Linked DNA regions of Drosophila melanogaster. The protein of the gene in region 3 interacts with the protein of the main gene of each other region in a pairwise test. Each region holds a gene or a part of one and is shown on either strand. Other genes may lie near its edges. The genes, in order: CG1572, Tsp74F, Spt-I and CG15083.

Evidence for each region.
Region 1: the proteins of Spt-I (region 3) and CG1572 interact in a two-hybrid assay, tested with the Drosophila melanogaster proteins (one large-scale study listed by BioGRID).
Region 2: the proteins of Spt-I (region 3) and Tsp74F interact in a two-hybrid assay, tested with the Drosophila melanogaster proteins (one large-scale study listed by BioGRID).
Region 4: the proteins of Spt-I (region 3) and CG15083 interact in a two-hybrid assay, tested with the Drosophila melanogaster proteins (one large-scale study listed by BioGRID).

Annotation. Positions count from the first base shown.
Region 1 is NC_004354.4:11,554,511-11,560,311, forward strand, and holds CG1572 (uncharacterized protein), read right to left. Parts: upstream 4,128-5,801; 5' UTR 3,978-4,127; intron 1,929-3,977; exon of another isoform or gene 1,900-1,928; intron 1,837-1,899; 5' UTR 1,791-1,836; coding exon 1,674-1,790; intron 1,602-1,673; coding exon 1,416-1,601; intron 1,286-1,415; coding exon 1,106-1,285; 3' UTR 540-1,105; downstream 1-539.
Region 2 is NT_037436.4:17,891,271-17,897,375, reverse strand, and holds Tsp74F (tetraspanin 74F), read left to right. Parts: upstream 1-1,513; 5' UTR 1,514-1,610; intron 1,611-2,163; 5' UTR 2,164-2,345; intron 2,346-3,819; exon of another isoform or gene 3,820-3,924; intron 3,925-3,989; 5' UTR 3,990-3,998; coding exon 3,999-4,076; intron 4,077-4,153; coding exon 4,154-4,345; intron 4,346-4,563; coding exon 4,564-4,659; intron 4,660-4,722; coding exon 4,723-5,019; intron 5,020-5,093; coding exon 5,094-5,141; 3' UTR 5,142-5,556; downstream 5,557-6,105. Other genes in the region: CG7402 (uncharacterized protein), read right to left, coding at 6,022-6,105.
Region 3 is NT_033778.4:13,166,897-13,171,291, reverse strand, and holds Spt-I (serine palmitoyltransferase subunit I), read right to left. Parts: upstream 2,795-4,395; 5' UTR 2,722-2,794; exon of another isoform or gene 2,478-2,721; 5' UTR 2,452-2,477; coding exon 2,404-2,451; exon of another isoform or gene 2,342-2,403; coding exon 1,842-2,341; exon of another isoform or gene 1,786-1,841; coding exon 1,458-1,785; exon of another isoform or gene 1,403-1,457; coding exon 1,037-1,402; intron 985-1,036; exon of another isoform or gene 976-984; coding exon 811-975; 3' UTR 548-810; downstream 1-547.
Region 4 is NT_033778.4:18,833,667-18,837,384, forward strand, and holds CG15083 (uncharacterized protein), read left to right. Parts: upstream 1-1,596; 5' UTR 1,597-1,725; coding exon 1,726-1,846; intron 1,847-2,613; coding exon 2,614-2,681; intron 2,682-2,749; coding exon 2,750-2,912; intron 2,913-2,988; coding exon 2,989-3,089; 3' UTR 3,090-3,176; downstream 3,177-3,718. Other genes in the region: CG15098 (uncharacterized protein), read right to left, coding at 1-118, 299-452, 645-730, 810-996; CG15099 (uncharacterized protein), read right to left, coding at 3,681-3,718.

The DNA.
Region 1 (5,801 bases), on a different chromosome or scaffold from region 3:
CAGCCAGCAGAATGCAAAATGCAGCCAGCAGCGAATATAATTAAATGTAATTCTTTTTTTTTTCGATAATCATATCTTAATGCTTGATATACGAGTTGTATTTATTAGGCGAAACGTTTGTGTGGTCGGCGATCGAAGGAGGGTCAGTTAATTGTTAAAGAAAAATGCTTAATTTATCGTAATCGATTACCCTTTTCTTTTATATTTAATACTTGCGTGTACTTCTCTTAATTACTATGATTTTTTTTTTTAATACACCTAAACCACTTATTTGTGTTTACTGTATATGTAAATTAGTAGTTAAAGGCGAGGGCTTTATGCCCATCAACAGATAATAAAAACTGCGCCAGAGGGAGCGAGAAGTGTGTTTTAATTATTATTAGTAATTAGTAATTTCAATTGATTTTTTGTGTTTAGAGAATCTATTTCTATGAGAAGACAAACAAAGATGCAAATTCTATTATATATTATATTATATAGTAATTATTTTATAGATAACTAATTTAAAATATATTCAATAAAAACCATAAAAATTACCACCACGTTTTTTCTATTACTCTTTGGTATTAAATTAAATGAAATTATGATTTCATCGAATTTATATATTTGCTTGCTAACAGCAACATTTCCCGCATGGCCCAAAAGTATGCAACACTTTTTACGATCGGTTCAAAATCAAAAAGTACAAAGTACACTGGCCAACACAATTAAAGCATGCCGACAATAAAAAACTATTGCAGCTGAAGCAACAAATAAACAAACTACTACACATTTAGAAAAAACATATAGACACACATCTTTATTCGAATACATGACAATCTGTTTGGTACAAAAGAAAGTGAGACAAAAAAAAAGTTTTGTATATATCGGTAAAAGTACAAGTAAGTGTAACTAGCGCCAAAGAACGTTTCACAGTACAACAAAGATTCCGCCGCTTGGCACCCACTTTCTCTACATCTATGTTTGTATATCCCTGGGCTCTCGCCTCCTTCTCCTGCTTCGCATGACCAGTGGCTAGAGTTGGTTGTGGGAAGAACAAATGCTTCGAGATTGCAAATTCCACTTGAATGGCCGAGTGGGCGGTGGGTTTTGGGTGCTTTAGTGCTTAAATGCCGCGATAGGATCGGTGGGCCAGGAAGGCGCTGATGAAGTACAGCACCGCATTGACCAGGCCCAAAACACCGGCTGCCATATAGGCGTCGTGCTTTACATCGCGCAGCTTGAGCAGCAGGATGGTGGACGAGACCAGGATCAGGATGGCGGCCACACTGTGGTAAATCAGCTCCTGCAAAAAGGTTAATGGTCGTTGAAATGCACGGATTGCAGATACAAGGCGAAGTATATATATGTACGTTTGGAGTTCCATGGCTAATACTAAAGTATACAAAAGATATAGCAATGATGATTATACTCACATAGATCGTCTTGGCAATAATGCCGCCCGTGCTGAGCGACGTGAGGCAGGCGAGGAGTAAACAGAACGTTCCTATCATAAAGGTAACGGCCATCAGATAATGGAACAGATCCTGCTGGCCATAGAAGTATCTGTGGTAGTCCTGGTAGTTGAACGCCAGAATTCCCACAATGGAAGCACCAATGATCTGCGCAAAAAATCGTGATGGTTGTTACATTAAGTTCAAAGTTGCTATCGAATTCTGGGAGCATTAACGCACCAGCTCGAAGAGCTTGAGGATGCCGGGGAAAGTCTTCAGATAGCCCGTGTTCAGGACAATGTAGGAGGTGTTGGTGGTGCTGGTGGTGGTGCGGGTAATGGTCACTGAATGCGACATCTTCGCTCTGCTTCGGTGGTTCTTTTCGGGGGGTTAAAGGTGGGGTCTGCAAAGACAAATAAATAAATGAATAAACACAAAAAAAAAGTAAAATATTGGATGCTAATACCAATACAGAAATATAAGAAACTTCGGTGATAAGAACTGAAATTAAATAATAATACTTATCAAATTGTAAATGCTTAAAATTCGTTGAAATAAGCCAACAAATTTGCTGGTGATTCATGCAAAGTATATTTGCATCCATGTGTTAATTTATGGTTTAATTATTTGATTAAAATGAGTAAGTCTTAGGTTCTTTTTCTTTCACTTATATTCCCCGAATATCGTAATTCATATGGTGTGTTTTTATTTATTTATTGCTTTTTTTTTTTGTATCTTTTGTACTTTTTGGCCAGCTGTTACAGATCGAACGCCCTTGCCACGCCCATCGATCTGCAATGTATCCATACAATGTTTGTGTATTTTTGGCCATCCATTTGTTGCTGTTTTTGTTTTGGATTTTTGCTTTTTGTCTAATTTTAAAACAATTTTCAATGCCGGCCTCGCAGGCGAAAAAGCGCCAAATGCGTTATTGAAGCAGTGGGAGAATCGGAAAAATCTATTTACTTGACCGACGAGAGAAAACCCCCCCGCCCCATACAGAACCACTCCTCTCCCCCCGCGCAACGATTTCCCCCCTTTTTGGGGATCGGCAGCGAACAAAATAGATGAATCGCTCTCGTCTATATGTTCACCTAGGATTGGATATATGTAAGTCTGTATGTATGTACATATATGAATGTATGTAGATATGTATGCATAAACGTCATGAACTTTATGGTCTGCTGCCTGCTGTTCGTTGTGGAAAAGCTGAAGGAAAACTGAAGAAAAGCGCCTCGTTCGTAATTGGGACACACACACACACACACACACACTTTAAGTATACAGATGCCGTGGGTGGGCATAATGGTTATAGGGTATTCGCAAATGCCGTGCCAGATCTGGAAATCAGATTGTGACTATAAGTTCTGACTTCAGATTTGACGATTGGTAATCAAGCCGAATAACATTGTAGGCAAACAAATAAAACCAGTTTAGCTTAAAACAAATAACAAACGGAAGGATAGTGAGATTAATTCCAAATTAACTGCTCTGCTATAGCTATATTTGCTATATTTGGCTTAAAACAAACATGAGTTAAATAAAAGCCTTGTAAGACCCATACAGAGGAGTTGAAAATCGTAACTAATTTTATATTCTTGATATTTTAACTAAGCAAGGAAGAGATCAATTTAGAAAATACCAACGAATTATATTGTTTTAGGAAATGTGCTCATACAAGATTGATGGCAATTGGAATGGGGTTGGATTTCAGAACTTAGACCTTCCTCAAAATCGGTGGCGCATTAGACGAGTTCAAAAACGATGACGCCACCGGTGACGCAATAGTTTACACACAATGTGAATGATGCTCATCGAAATTCACAAAAGTGGTAGAGGCACATACATACACATACATATATACATATGTATATCCCAGTGGCATGGAAGGGGTGCGGCCCAAATTCCGAAGCGTAATACCGAAACCAAAAACCGAAAACCAAAAAAAAAAATAATAATAAGAAAACAAAACAAAGCAAAAACCAAAATAACAAGAACCCATGTGCGACATTTTATCGGAATTAAACAAAATACATTCCGAATATTGATTAGATGGCGGATTTCCGCCGAAAAGCGGTATGATATCATGCCTATGATGTACGATAGTTTAATTCGCATGCCAAGCAACTTGGCCCAAGCAACAGGTTGTTGTTTTGGGCCCTTTAAGATTCCTCTTTGGAACCGGAAGAGATGAACAAAGACGCCGCTTTTGTCAATTTCCCAAATGACAACAACTAATCAATATACATATGTACCAAAAGGCAAGCTATCAAATGTTCTGCTGATAAGAATATTTCCCCACTGCAAACGCGACTCACATTCGGTTTCGCATTTTCAACTCTGGAAATGATATCATCGCCGTCAATAATAATGCAGTTTAATGCTTGTAGGAGAAAAAAAATTAACAACATATTAATGCACAGCCAAGTACCGAGAATTCCAATTCCTTTTGCTTTTCGAAATGTACAAAAAAAATATATAAAAAAAAAAAAAAAACAATAAAACACACATATAGTCCCAGCGGTAGAAATGGGTGGTATGTACCTCTTTCTCTCTCTGTATATCTAAAGTTTTCGGTATGGATCTTACTCTTACTTTTCTCAAAATTCGGCGTAGGACTCAGCCAACTGGTTTTCCTCGCACTTTTCTTTCGACTTTTGCGTCTTTTCGCGCGCACGTTGCAAACGAAACTGAAACCGAAACTGAAAAATAAAAGCGTTTGGCCCGCTGCCTCTGCCACAGTTTTCAGCGTCGCAGTCGACGCAGCCGAGACGAAAACAAAACAAGACCCAGCAGAAGCCTTCCAGGCCGATTTACTGCGACTCGACTTGGGGGATACCCTGCATCACTTAGAACACTTCACAAGCGAATTAGGTTGGTAGTACAAAACATGCATTGCAATTTTTTAAATATGTCGCTTTTTGGGCCAAAAAATGCGAAATAATGGTCCAAATATGGATTGTTATACCTCGTTGAGTTCGTATTCAAAATTCTACTCAAACTGTGTTTAAAATTTGGAATATTAATTTTATGCCATTTTTCGCAAATTTTGATGATGTTACCCCTTACCAAAAATGCGAAAATCGACCCAAAAATTAATTTTTCAAAATCCATCAAAAAGTGATAGAGATAGTTAGTAGTGGTAATTAGCTGCACAAAACAGTCATTCCTGCACTTTTATGACCATTTTTAGACAAGTTATGATAAAAACACGCTTTATTTAAATCGTATTTTTGGCCGAAAGTCGTTTTCCAGATTTAAAGGAAGAAAATATTTAGTTTTTTGGCCACAACATTGGAAATAATGATCCAAATATGGATTGTCATACCTCGTTGAGTTCGTATTCAAAATTCTAATCAAACTGTGTTTAAAATTTGGATTTTTAATTTTTTGCCATTTTTCGCAAATTTTGATGATGTTACCCCTTACCGAAAATGCGAAAATCGACCCAAAAATTAATTTTTCAAAATCCGTCAAAAAGTGATAGGGATAGTTAGTAGTGGTTTTTAGCTGCACAAAACAGTCATTCTTGTACTTATATGACCATTTTTAGATAAGTTATAAGAAAACACCCTTTGTACATATCGTATTTTTGGCCAAAAGACGTTTTCCAGATTTAAAGGAAGAAAATATTTAGTTTTTTGGCCACAACATTGGAAATAATGATCCAAATATGGATTGTCATACCTCGTTGAGTTCGTATTCAAAATTCTAATCAAACTGTGTTTAAAATTTGGATTTTTAATTTTTTGCCATTTTTCGCAAATTTTGATGAATACCGAATATGCAAAAATCGACCCAAAAATTAATTTTTCAAAATCCATCAAAAAGTGATAGGGATAGTTAGTAGGGGTTATTAGCTGCACAAAACAGTCATTCCTATGCGTTTATGACCATTTTTAGACAAGTTATGATAAAAACACCCTTTGCATAAATCGTATTTTTGGCCAAAAGACGGTTTTCAGATTTAAAGGAAGAAAATATTTAGTTTTTTGGCCACAACATTGGAAATAATGACTGGTCTATGCCACCCGGATGCGTTTTCATCCAGGGTATCAGCAAGGCAATTCAGCCAACAACGCCAACAAGTTGACTTGACTGCTGGCTAGCGCGGTATAAATGACGCCTGACGTCATGATGTCATCGAGTGAGCGGCAGAGCAGCCAAGCAGCGGAGCGGCCAACCTTAATATTTGTAATCTTCAAGTGCAACTAGGCCCCCGGCCACGCCCCCTTGACACTGTTCATTGGCCGCCCACGGATTGGCAATTAAAAAGAAAGGAATTAAACTTGCTAGTGGAAGCTCCTCGGACTTTTTCTCTGACTCAGCGCCACCTGAAAGTGGAGAGTGAGAAAAGTGGGTGAGGGC
Region 2 (6,105 bases), on a different chromosome or scaffold from region 3:
CGCTTCTGACGCTTGTCACCTTCGCCGAGCTCAACGAGGCTTTCAACTCGCTCACACTAATCGGATCTCAGTAAGTATAGGTTCATAGGCGAAATTGACTGGCTTAAAATTAAGAATTCCCCATAATATTAATGATTCTTGGCCACTTGAGCAAGAATAACTGAGCACTAGTCGCAAACTTCGATTTCTGAGCAATATTTTATCATGAGGCGCCTGTGGGACGAGTGTGTGGAAATGGATTTTATGGCATCTATAAAACGCAAAAGGTTCCCACAGCGAGTTTATAAGATGCAAAATCAACAGGCAGAGTAATTGTTTTTCTTTTTTTTATGATTTATTTTTATTTTCGCCATGCAACTAACACATTGGTCGGTGATTACGGGGACATGGCGGGTGGTTGTTGTTAACACGGCCATAAAAGTGCTAAACAAGCCAACAATTTGAGCGCTTTTCAACCGTGCTGTGGAGTGTAAGTAGGGAGGGTGAGCTATTCGTCTATCGGCAGCCAACTTTCTGACCTTAGCTTGGAAACTGCTTAAAAAATTACTCAACTCAGCCAAAACTATTTGTTCGACTAACAAGAAAATTAAGCTGTTAATTGCCAAAGGTTGTCCTTCGGCACAGCAATTGAGTTCGACCAGCAAAAGTAACATGAAACACGGATAATAAGCATATTTTCCTTGTGCTCTCTTGGAACACTAAGCCCTTGAAATCAAGAAAGAAAGATAGCCTCGCCAATGTTTGATTTCTTTTCTAATATTTTCAATTAAATTTCGATATTTATACATACATGATACAGAAGACAAATTCACATACTACGAGCAATAAAAAGAAGATTTTTAGAAAAGTTCCAAGCTTTAAAACTATGATTCTAGAATGCGTAAGAAAGGAACGGACTGACAAACTTGGCTTTATCAAGTTGTCTGATCAACACTCGTATATTGAATATAAATATGGTTGCAAATAGATGCAAATGATCCAACTGAAGAAAGAAAACAATCATTACAAATAATCCTTGTTCAAAAAGTATTTAAACTTAAACTGTTATAACAAAACGGTAACCAATTCGGATAGATTTGCCTCCAAAATCAATTATGCGGACATTGCCATGTGCAGACCGAGAACTAAAACAAATATCAAATTTCGTTTGCTTATCAATATTTATATTTTGCAATTGCCCGAAATGAAACAAAGGTGCTGGCTGTGGACGACGGATCATATTTTGTTTGCTCAACGCATTTTCACATGCCGACTCCGCAAAGGGAAGTGTGGGTAAAAGAAGCCGAAAAATAGATGAATAAATAAGAGAGAAGCACGAAAACATTCAGAGAAGTATTTGCGGTTTGTAAGCGAGTAGAGACTCCCATCTCTCTCGCACCTGCAGTGCTAAGCCTTCGAAAACAGGGGCTCAAGTCGAAGTTGTTGTAATGTCGAGAGACCGAGACCAGAAAAAGCCCAACAACGAAGCTCTTTGTGAGCGAAACTAATAAAAAACCGATCGCCCCGACTGTTCCCACAACCAGTTCCAAGCGAGCTCTCGGGCGGTAGAGTCGTCCCTGTCCCACATATAAAACCATAGTATCATAGCTCCCCGGATCCACTCAATCCCTGTAAGGCGAGACTTAGGTCCATCAAGTGAATCGTATAGTTTTATCCCCACGAAATATCCCGACAGTACAGTGATAACTCCGCTAAGGATAATGCTGCCTTGGCAAGCGTGACGTAACTTGAAAAGCAAATGTTAAAAGCAAGGCGGCAAAAAAAAAGTTGTTTGCCATGGGAGAACTGCAATTGACAATAACAGCAACAGCAATCGAATAAAAACTCAATAACAATTATCAACTGCGAGTGACGCTTAAAACAAATGCAAGAAACCTGTATTAAAAAAGTTTCATAAAAATTCGAGAGCAAATATTAACGAATATTGCATAAATTGCTATATGCGTATGTAAACTTTGCGATCTCTTTTGATCTGAATGAAGTGATCTGAATGAAGAATGAACCAAAAATTTAAACAAGTTAATAAAATCGACCGAAAAAATGAATGAATGCGTCTTCATCAAAAAGTTGTTTATAAATAAAAGTGAAATTAAAAACTCTTCTACTTCTTACCACAAAAATGTTAATTGAAAGGGTTAAAATAATTTCCTTCTTTTTTTATAGCCACTCCCAAAGTTTCTGTGCATTCAAGTGCAACTAAAAATAGTAGCCGTTTCTTTTGTTTTGCTTTGTGTTTTTGCAAAACAACAAATTGAAGGCAATTTACATACACAAAGCTGAGAAAGAAAACCGCCAAAATTGGTTACCTAACGAAAACTTCGTTTGTGCTACGGGACGGCAAACTTGTAAGTGAATTTGCTTATTAGATAATATTTCATTTGTTTTAATTAATCATAAATTTCATACAGAGGTCCTTCAAATGCGACCACTTTCCTATTTTCACTGCTATATTTTCAAGCTTCGAGTATAAACAAGGAGTACATATTTCATATTTATAGCCTCGACCGATTCTGCTCACTAACTTTTAAGCTAACATCACCTACAAATAAAGATTACATACGAGTTTTAAACATAAATGACCTAGTAAAGCTATTATTCCTATGATTACAGATAGATAACAGGGTATGAAAGGAGCATAAAAGAGTGAGCTCAGAGTTTAGTAGATAGTACTTAAAAAGTCTGATTTTCTAAGTTTTTCATGAGTGACAGGACTTGGAATCCGAGCTTTAAGTGATCTATTACCATGTGTAGCACGTACAGCTGAACAATTACCATAAACTTAATTGGTCTCAGCTTACAAGCGGCAGATATAGTGATTCGCCCCGCCGCCAACGCCCCGTCATCATTAATGGCGACTTTCGGATGACTTACTGTCATCTCAGGCACGATTCGGATTCGCTTAACATGATAACGTCGAATGAAATATAGTGAATATTCAGATAGTGTGAGAACATTTTTTTAATAGCCCCGCCAATTACCTGGCGAACTCGACTGCGGCTTAACATATTTGAATTTGGAGAATAATGCTCGAAATGAGATGTCGTTTACCAGCTAGTGGGGTGAAGGGGTACCCGACTGCTCAGCCTGCAATTACTTTTAATTAGCATTTAGAACATCGCACTGCGCCAAGATGATTCAGAGCTGGGACGGCACTCGTAGTTAAACCACTACAATTAGCTGACAAATTTTCGGGCAGGCTATTACTTTGATTTATTTGTTTTGATCGCTCCAACTTCAACGGGGGGAATTCGTCTCGGAATCGCCGCGCAGCGAACCCTTCAAGTGGGCCTAATGCGATGTAAGTAACCAAAAAAAAAAAAAAAAACGCGAGTCTTTAGAGCCGTAACTGACAAAATCCACAAGACGTTGGCAGCCACCGCCGATAATGAACGCTTGTCTAGGCACATAGCGTTGGCAGCTTCGCTGCTCAGTCGCAGTTCCATAAAGTGGGTCATGGTTAAGTGTACTTCGGTCGCTTCGCGGTTCGGACCCGGCTTAGAAAGAGCGAAACGTTCGGCCGAAACCACAGCTGCGCATGCGCATGCGCATGCGCACCACTCGCCAAGCCGAACACCATTGATAGGCAGCCCATATGTTGGAGTGAATCTTACGCGAAAGAAACTCGTTAAAAAGTACATTCTTGAGATTACATCACATTGCAATAGAGAGTAGGCCAAAAATAGCTAATTTGAAATCGGGATGATGAGTTATGATTAACTTGGTTATCGCTAAGGACCTGTTGAAATTGAATGATCTCTAAGAACTTTAACTTAATTAAAGCATAGTGTGAAATTATTTTTATCTGTCTTTGGATTATAGAGTTGTATCGCCATCAAGAACCTCTGCATCTCATCCTACCCCAAATTCCCTGCATAATTCTCCTCGCATCAATATCCTCTGGGGGCTCTTCACCTGTAGACAAAAGTAAACAATGTGAAATCTTTTTATCCCATTGAATTGGTTAATTGAAATGTATTATCCTTTCAAAGGAAGACGATATGGGCTTCAGTTCGCGAATGGACTGCTGCGGGCAGTTCGTCAAGTACAGTCTTTTCATAGCCAACTTTGTGATATTCGTGAGTATCCAGGAGTCGCTTGAATTAAAAAACAATTTAAGAGAAATAAATAATACCAAAATATATGTATTTTCCAGGTGGGTGGAGCGATTGTGTTTTGTCTCACCCTGTGGACTCTGGTGGATCGGAGTTTCGTCAATGAGTTGCTCGGTACAAATCTTTTCTCGGGTGCTGTCTACGTCCTGCTGGTTACATCGATTATCATTTGTCTGGTGTCCTTTTTGGGTTGTGTTGGTGCCGGAAAAGAAGTCAAATGCCTCCTCCTAACAGTAAGTAAACAACAAACAATAAAAACAAAAATTTCATTTTATTAAATAATTAACTTTGTCCTTTTTGGAGTAATCATATCTGGATTTGCATATTTACAAAGATACCATCTAAAGAAATGATCTATTTGATTTAATCTTCTAAATGTTGTCAGTCTCTTCTTTACTATTATGCAAACACCATTTAGCTAAAAAATTAACCACTCGTTTTCCCTTTGCAGTATTTCATAATAGTGGCCCTAGTTTTCGTGACCATGCTAATTGGCGGTGTCTTGGGTTACGTGTTCCGCGAACGAGTTCAGCAGACCATGCGGCAGGTGAGGCAAATCCATCGATAACAACACGTGGGTGGCACATTAACCCTTACCAATATCCCATAGGAAATGCGTTCCACGATGGCACTATACGGAAGCAGGAGGGAGATCACCCAGGCCTGGGATTTGACCCAGGAGCGACTACAGTGCTGCGGAGTGGATACGTGGCACGACTGGAATAGGTACGGACCAGTGCCTGAGTCCTGTTGCCAGGAGCTTTTCGGTGGACAGCGTAAGGAGTGCACAATCTTCCCGACCATTACGAATCTGTACAACCAGGGATGCCTCTATGTGACGACCAACTTCATCAGGGATCACGCGGCGGTTATTGGAGGTACATCCATAGCGGTGGCCATACTGATGGTAAGTGAACGCCTTTCTTCGGTAGCAAAATTATTATATAATATATAATTAATTGGAATTTGGTTTATTTTTAGATCTTTGGCATGATATTCTCCTGTCTACTATTCAATATGATCGAATAGCGCCAACGAGGAGGGGAATCCCATGGTCACGCAGGAAAATCAGATACCAAGGTCCACAGTCCAGAAGAAACACATTTTTAAACATAATTCGCTGGAGTTAAATTAAGAGTATTATCTGAGTGTATGCTAATGTTAGATCTGCACAGATCAACTGTCCGCTTGTATTATGTATTGTATTGTATGTATATACGTGTTTAGATACGCATAACTAGTGAGTATTGAACTTAGTAGGGATTCTATTGTTATTATCTGTTGCATAAATTTGTATTATTTGTGTGAAGTTTTGTAAATTTCCTCTTAAGCCACCGTTATCAACAACCCATTACAATTGCTAGTTTTAAGTGAGCTTTTCAATACTTAATAGAGAATTTAGATGTCTGTCCATTGTTGTTTTCAATAAAAATTAGTTAAAACCAAATACTTCGGAAATGTTTATATATATTAATATTTTTTATTTTTAATCCAATTATCATTAAACGATATGTTGTGATATGAGTATAAAAAAAAAACGAAAAAGGATAAATATTTAAAATGATCTGGTCCATGAAATATGTCCATGTTACGTAAAAATTTGTATTTAAAAAACGGTTTAAAGTATTAAACTGTTTTTGATCGAAGCTTTAATCTACATGCAATATTGTTGCATATTTTTAGGTTTTTTTTGTCTTAAGTCACATTTTTGAAGCGGGAAAATAGGGAAAGTATGGATCACGCTGTGACCTGAAGGTGTTTACAAAGTGAATTATCATCAGATAATATAACAACTTTTATGTTATTTAACTGAAAATAAGTTCGCACTCAAGCGACTTTAAAGATTTGAATAAAAAAGTATTTTCTTTAATTAACTTTTATTAAAAATTATTCTACTAAGAACTTACAGCTACAACAGATTTCTGTATACTAAGCCTATAATACTACCCATCGCAAGCCATAAATTGATGGAGAAGGTGCCGGAACCTGATTG
Region 3 (4,395 bases):
TAAACAACATAGCGAAAATTGCTGTAATTGCATGTTTTTGTCGCCAAATGTTGCGTATTCGCACTGATAGCACCGCACCCAAGTTCATAGTACGTATACGCTCAATTGGCGCTGATTGCCGGCTGGCATATCGGCATCGAAATCAGAGCGCTATGTGCACAACATCATGATTTGGGGTCGTCGTTGTCAAGTTCATCAGTGAATCGAATGCACAAACATGGGTTTGAAAGTCGAAGGGTTATGATTATTGCTCACAGATTAGGTCGCCACTCGGAAACAGCTCTGCTCCACTGGCAATCAAATCGTTTCAAAGCATTTCCATTCCATCTGGCTTATTCCACATATTAGTTATTATTAAGCGTGTGATGTGTATCTTAATTGTCATGCAAGAAAAACATAAATAAATAATGAATGTTTCTTTGTGGAAGTTGTTCTTGTAAATTTTACAACAAATGCCACATAATATTACCCTTATCTTTATCGGGATATTCAAAAACGTTTGCGATTGCGCAGGCGATAAGAAACACCAATAAAAGGGCACGTAACTACCAAATAAACTTAATAGTTTTATTTAACCAGCTCTGTTATCTATAACGTGTAATCTTTGAAAGTTTTCCTAGACTTAAAATTTTTCATTAAAATGCAATGCAACAAAGTGCAAAGAGCAAGTGCAAGGCTAGCTATTAACTTAAACAATTCATACTGGACTGGTCGTGAAGAAGTGATGAAAAAATGATGGGGCCAGCAGGCCTTAAAACTTAACAGCAAGGCCATTGTCGAAAGAAGATCATTCCTTTCCAACAACAAGGCTTATAGGACGGAGCTGGAAACACTCTCGATGACCTCAAACGCATTGTCTATTTCCGAACTCTCCAGCAAACGGTTGACAGCAATGCGAATGCTGGGACGGACTGGTTGGCGTTCCCTGTTCTGCAGGTAGGCAGCCTGTACCACAGCCACTCCACGAGCAATGCACTGGGAAAAGTGAGTAGAAATGTATAGTTTTCATAATTGCATGGGGAAATAAAATGCCTACCTTATCAGCCAGCTCTGTTAGAAGTTTCAGTTCCTTGTCAAAGTTCTCGGCGGGCTGGGCAAGATACAAGTGCTTCACTGGTGACACCTCATCGCCGCGCAGGGTTAGCTTGCTGAATCGCAAAAACTTCTGGTGCAACGTCTTAGACTTTGCCTGCAGCTGCTCGAAGATTTGTGGTTCTCGTTCGAAACGATCCAACGCTGAAATAGCCGCCTGGGTGAGCATGGGCGGCAGCGAGGCCGAGAAGATGTAGCCCAAGCCAGAGAGGCGCTGGTGCTCGGCTATGAAGTGCGAGCCAACACAGAAGCCACCGACTGTTGCCATCGAACCCTCCATGCCGGCCGATATCAGATCGACTTCATCACGCTAAAAGAAAAATACCAGTTATAATTTTAGTTTTTCTTTCCGGTTTACCACCTACATCGACATTAAAGTGCTCCGTAACTCCGTGACCACCCTGGCCCAATGTGCCAAAGGAGATGCTTTCGTCGATGAACAAACGCAGCTTGTACTTCTGACGCAAGGCCACCAGGTCGGGAAGTGGGCAAATCTCGCCCGTATTCATATAGATACCCTCGGCGACGAGGAAGCGACGTGTCTTAGCCGCCTTTTTCGGATTTTTCTGGTCTCGTTTTTCTTGCTCAATCAGCAGACGTTCTAGATCCTCAACGTCATTGTGCTTAAAGAAAACGATTGTGCTTCGTGAAGCATCCAGACCCTTCTGAATGGCAAAGTTGACAGCCTCATCCCTACAAATAACAAGTAATTAGTCGCCAATCTGAGTAGGTGAAGTAGACAATCCTACACAAAGATAAGGTCGCCACGTTTGGCATACGCCGGAATGGCACTGGCCACGGTCGAGAAGCCGTAGGAATAGACAATGGCCTCCTCCAGGCCCATGAACTTGGCAATACGATCCTCCAGGTCCAGATGCACGTCCATAGTGCCGTAGAAGCCCCGAGGTCCGCAAGATCCAACTCCGTACTTGCGCAGCGACTTGCAGGCCTCCTCCAGTATCTCCTGGTCCTCGAGGAAGCCAAGATAGTTGTGAGAGCCAAGATTTAGGCAGTCGTGTCCATCGACCTGGATGCGCTTGCCCACCCTGGACTGCACAACGCGGGTGTGCAGCAGGGGATGATTGGGATCGGTGTCGGCCACCAAGGGCTCTGGTTCATAGTCGGCGATTATTCGGTCTTCCTCCTCCTTGGTCAGCTGTCGGCGACGACCTCCTCCTCGTCTGTGGAGCAGCAACCAAATCACGGTTATGAGCAGTAGGGTCTCCAAGACGAGAGCAAACGTGGGGGTCTGTGGAAGGAGTAGAAACTGGAGTAAGCTAAATGTGGTGAAAAAGGCGAATGCAAACTTACGTTTCGGAAAATACTGCCGATTTCGTTGAACAATTGGATGGCCACCATTTTGACAGTCTGGTTCCGTGCCCTTTCTGTGAAAAATCAATTGAAACCGCCTTAATTCCCTGAAGTTATGTGTCATCTAGCCGACGCTTTCTTATCGCGGGTATGCCCCATACATATGTAGAATTGAAGCATTCGACCATACGGTACGGAAATCTTTTCAATTGGGTGTGTATGCTGACATAGGCTAATTGCCAGTGGGCGAAAAATGTGCAACCACGCCCTTCTCCAACATTCTCTTACATTAAATATCCATTTAAATCGAGCACTCACCACAAAACTCAGTTAACTATAGGCAAAATGCGTGAAATATCCGCCGAAACAGATGGATGAACGAATGTACTAAAAAATACCAATACGCGGATATCTTTAAGATGTGCGCCAAATTGGCGGCGATGGAGGAACAGTGGAATATGGAACTAGGGGACGTTTTTATTTATTTTTTGTTATTCAAAAACCTGGTCCTGTCGACCTGTCCCGCCCACCTGCCCCACCGACCTGTCCCGCCGATCTGACCCACCGACCTGTTCCGCTGACGTGTCCCACTGACCTGTCCCACCGAGCTGACTCGCTAACAACAAAATACAACAAGTTACAACAGATTTTAAATTTTTATTAAAAATTACCTAGATTTTATCAATATTTTTATGATACTGAACTCAAATAAACTTGCTACGTAACGGTTCTTTTCTAGTTATCATTTCAAATATATGATCGATTACTATTTTATATCGATAGGCAGAGCAGCGATCGCAGTGTGACCGTGCGGTGGGAAATAACGAAATCGAATTCAATTCAAACCGCCGATCCATTCAGTTTCCATTGAACTGCTGCTGCGATCGGTCAACCGATGTGAATGAGCCGCGTTACTGGCGCCATCTGAAATTCGAGTTCGCGAGATAAAAACCGCGAGAAGACAAAGAACACCGCAAAAAGCCGATGTAAACAAAGAGATATAGTTAGTTCTGCATTTTGCAAGAAAACTTTATCACATTACACGCGAATCGAAACGGATACTTGTATGTGCACAAAGTGAAATCAGCTGGACAACAAGAGTATTTTGCAATTGCCTTGGTTTATTTTCAGCCACTTGCGGCTGTCGTTTTCTGTGAAATTAACACTTTTTTCTATTGGCAGTGATGGGAAGTGTATATTTGGGTGTACCTGGCTGGTAGTCTAGATACAACAATTTACGCTATGTGTCGCGATCTAGTCTAGGTACAAGTATTCACTCTTCCTTGCAAATGTCCTTGTTTTAATATATAGTAAATTCTATTGCATTTCATATAATTATTTACTATTTACCTATATCACTATTCAATTAGACCCAAGGAAATACTTCTTTCAAAGTCACGATTGTATTTAAAATATACATAATCATTTTTATCAAGTTCCATTTCGTCTTAAATTACAATATTATTAAATAATTGCCAACTGATACTGATGAACTATACTATGTAGCTACCAATCAAAGTACCTTTCACATCACTATCTATCAATCAAATAGTTATAGTTAGCATTGCCCATGCGATAATGGCAAACCGAAATAGCGCAAAGAAAAGCCACTTCCTATTTCTCTTGAACTTGATGCGCTCGAATGAAGCTACCATGTCTACACCATGCCCACTTTCGCAGATAAATCGAGCAATGCACCCGACTAACTCCATGACACAATTGATGCATCCCAGCGCAGTATTTCCTCGATTAGGTATTTTCGCTTTTACCCGCTTTTTGCAATGCGCAATAAGTATCTCTTGGTGTGTGCGAAAATCGGTGGAGCAACCAGTTTTCGAGCTGCATTTTGACGTTGGCTTTTCTTTTACGTAACTCGCTGGCCGGGCACGAGCCAAAAACCAAAATAAATATCAATAATAAACACGGCGCCGCGCCAACCCAGTTAGTGGTTTTCACTTCACTTCACCTCACATCACATCACTTTACTTCTTC
Region 4 (3,718 bases), 5.7 Mb from region 3:
CTGGGATAGGAGTTGGTCTGCTGGGTCGGCTGTGGGATCAGCGGGCGCTGGATCTCACGGGATGCCTGGATCTGCTTGAAGAGCGAGTAGATGCCGTAGTAGAGATACCAGGTCAGCACTGAAAACGAGCGAATGGAGAAAAATAAGCATCGTGCCCAAGCGCAATTATAGAACGATCGCAGACCGTCGAGCGATAAGCGCAATGGGGATCCACAATTTCGCAACAACGGCCAGTGTGTATTGTGTATACCCATTTCCAGATAGAGCTTATGTATGTATGAAGTGGTGAGTCACTTACAGAGCAGGCCAACATCCACGAAAATGATTGGAAGAGCGCTCAGGAAAGATGTATTTCCGATGATCTGGGCCAGCATTGCAATATTGGTGATAATTCCAAAGACAAGCAGCACTCCATTGTTGATCAGCCAGGGCAGCAGGAGTAAATGGCGTTCCTGAAAGGCAAACGCTATTAGAACCATCTCTATCTCTAGTTAGTATGGTGTATGTACATATGTATTTGCAAAGAAACTTGCCGGTTTTTTTTACAGAATAGTGGGCTTTTAAAAAGGTCTAACTCTAGATATGTACTATAGTAGACACATATATACGCGATTGTACAGATTGCATATTGATACTAGACTTACCTTAACGGTACCTGCAACCAACATGGCCGAAGCCAGAAGATTAATCACCTTGAGCGCCAGGTAAACACTGAAAACGATGATTAGCACTGCAATAACCGCAAGAACAATGAAATACAATAAAAAATATACGATTGGTTGTGGGTGCACTCGATGGTTAGCCCTTACCACTGCGAATCTCGGTGGCCGTCTTGTTAGAATCTTCCGATCCCTTGGCGATCTGCTGCGCAATTTCATCGACGAATCCGAGGGCCAAGGACAAGAGGATCGTGGCCAAGAAGGATAGAATCACGCCCAGCCATCCAATGACCACACCATAGGTGTTCAGGCGCATACAGAAGACCCTGGACAGCATTCTGGATTCACTTGATTTCGTGCTAATGCGAAGATAAAGACAATTTTACTTCAGTTCGCCGGCGCAGCAAAATTGCAATTGCTTGATAAGTCGCAATTGGCTGACAATTAAAAGCTTTTGGGTACAGCGGCGTTGCCAGACTGGTTCAAGCAGTTGGTGTCGAAACTGTGACTTGTTCACCAGCTTTTAATGTGACTTTTTAACGCTAATTGTTTAAAATTCTTTTAATAACATTTTTATATTTTAAATATTTTTATGCATTTATTATTTGGCATGATAGTTAAAAAATATTTATTTATGTATTCATTAACACTGCACAGCAGCGGCTTACTTTCATAATATTTTTCAAGGTGCTAATAGTAGCTACATTACATATATAATACAGCATTAAATCTCTCTATTATTTTAAAGACAATTCCCCATTTTATTCATTTCACTCTTAAATGACGAAACATATGCAAACAAATTCATATAGTAAATGAGTGCACATATATTTTTTAAGAACATATCAGACGTAGTTTTTCCACGCTCGAAAAAAAAGTATTTTCGTGTTGCATAGTTTACGCAACCGTTTCTTCTGAGCGGCATCGGCATTTGCGCCACACTTATTATTTGATTCTTGCCCAGTGCGGTTGTGTTTCCGTGCGCTAGGTGTTCCCAAACCGGTTTAAGTGCCATACTAGCCATATTTGTATTTGGAAAATTCGCTGTAAACCACAGAGTTTCAAAATGAAAATCGATCTGACGGTGGAAAATGGCCCGTGCAATACCGATTTGCGGAGCTGGTGCCTGGGAATCGCGATCTATTGGCTATTGAGCATGACTTTCAACGTTATATTCGCTCCAAACGGTAGGAGAAATGCGAGAGGCGTGGCATTTGTTTATTTTCAGAAGCTGATTGCCCAGACTGACGCTATTTCCATAGAGAGACAATACATTCATGATGTTCACATGCGAAATAAACGAATGAGCTAATCCATTCGACACAAACGCGTTCCAATTCACAACCATTTTGGATACAACACCTCACCATCGATGACGACATCGCCGACAAATTCGAGCTGACAATTCATTTTAGGTGGCCCGAAATGCCATTTTCTCACAGGCTTGAATTTTCCAGCACAAAAAAGAAAATTAAATAATTTCCTTGGGCTGTGCATGGCGCAGAATTAAACTTAAAAGATTATTGGGTTTTAACAGTTGAACGCCATATGTCATAAAAACACTTAAAGCCCTGCATTTGTCCATGTCTCAAAGAAGTTCTATAAACCTTATTCTAAGCTGTTTTAAAAAGTTTGTCATATTTCATGTATGAAATGTGTTTAAAATATAAAAGAAGAATTTATGTTTTAGTTCTTTATGTATATGTACACATGTACATGAAGTGCATCAGTGCATCAATATGTACTCATTATATACGAAGATACATTTAGCAGTCGTGTTCTCAAATTTCAGACGGGAAGAAAGATAAGAGCACAGCAACGTTTTGCTTGGAATACATTGAGTCACTTATAAGCCCAAGTTTATGTTTACTTTCCACTAATTGTAACGGCTTTTTTTATGAATGAAATATGTACGTTCAATAATTTCTATTTAAATTCACTTGAATCCTTGCAGTTCTTACCTTTATTGGATTTGCCATCGTAGTAGTCGCCAATATTTGCTTATTGATAGGAACCCTGAAGGTAAATAAAATACAACCCATTCCGTTTTATTGAGTCAACGAAACCCAATCTACCTTTCCGAATTGCAGGAAAAGCCAATTCTGGTGTTCGTCTGGCTGATCTTCGCTGCCATTGAAGCCATCTCCTTTCCGTTTGCCGTCTTCGGGGTTATCTTCCACTACGGAGGATATCGCGAGGCTACCGGAATGAACAACGTTTTCGGTGCCCTGCTCGTTTACATCATCACATTTCGTAAGTATCGGCTATGAACATCAAATTGAGTTAACAAAAATGTACAGATCATACATATTCTCCGCTACACTTTCAGTATTGATCCTCTTCAGCGCACGAATTGTGTACTCCTTCTACCTCCAGCTGAAAAACAGCGAAGCCAGCAAACAAACACCGCGCGCCATGAATGTGGTTTAGTCCTTATCATTCTACACTACATAAATTGTCGGGGAAGAGCCCACCGTTCGTTCATCTCAGTGTTTGCAATAAAATGCTTTGTTTTTTATTTGATTGCAGTTTGTCGTTAACGCACATCTCTTACTCACATCGACTTGGGATCAACTATCAACAGTTAAATACATTGGTTACATACATATACATACAGGGTGCTATTGGCTATTGGGCTACCGCGTTCTTAAACATTCAACATTTAAAACGATCGATCACACTACGGACAATTATATACTCTCGACACAGTTCTCTATCTATATAGCTAGCTATCATACTCGGCATCGTCTTCTGCTCCAATCTGCTTACTTAGACATAAAATGGAAAGTTGGTCATCTTATTGTTGCTGCTGTTATTGATGTTTTGCGACTGCGTAAAGCTCGTCTCGGCATTTTGGGTAGTTAGCTTAGCCTGCACGGCCGCCAGTATTCGCACAGCCTGGCCAGTACTGCCCGACTCCATGGCAGACTCCATACCTAGGTTCAGGTTCAGCTTGAGCTCGAAGTGTGACCCACTCGCTTGGATCTGCGACTGCGTCTGCCGTTGGGCAACAGCCGGTTTTCATCTCGGCGTGGTTATGCTGGGCAGCTTTTCCAGAA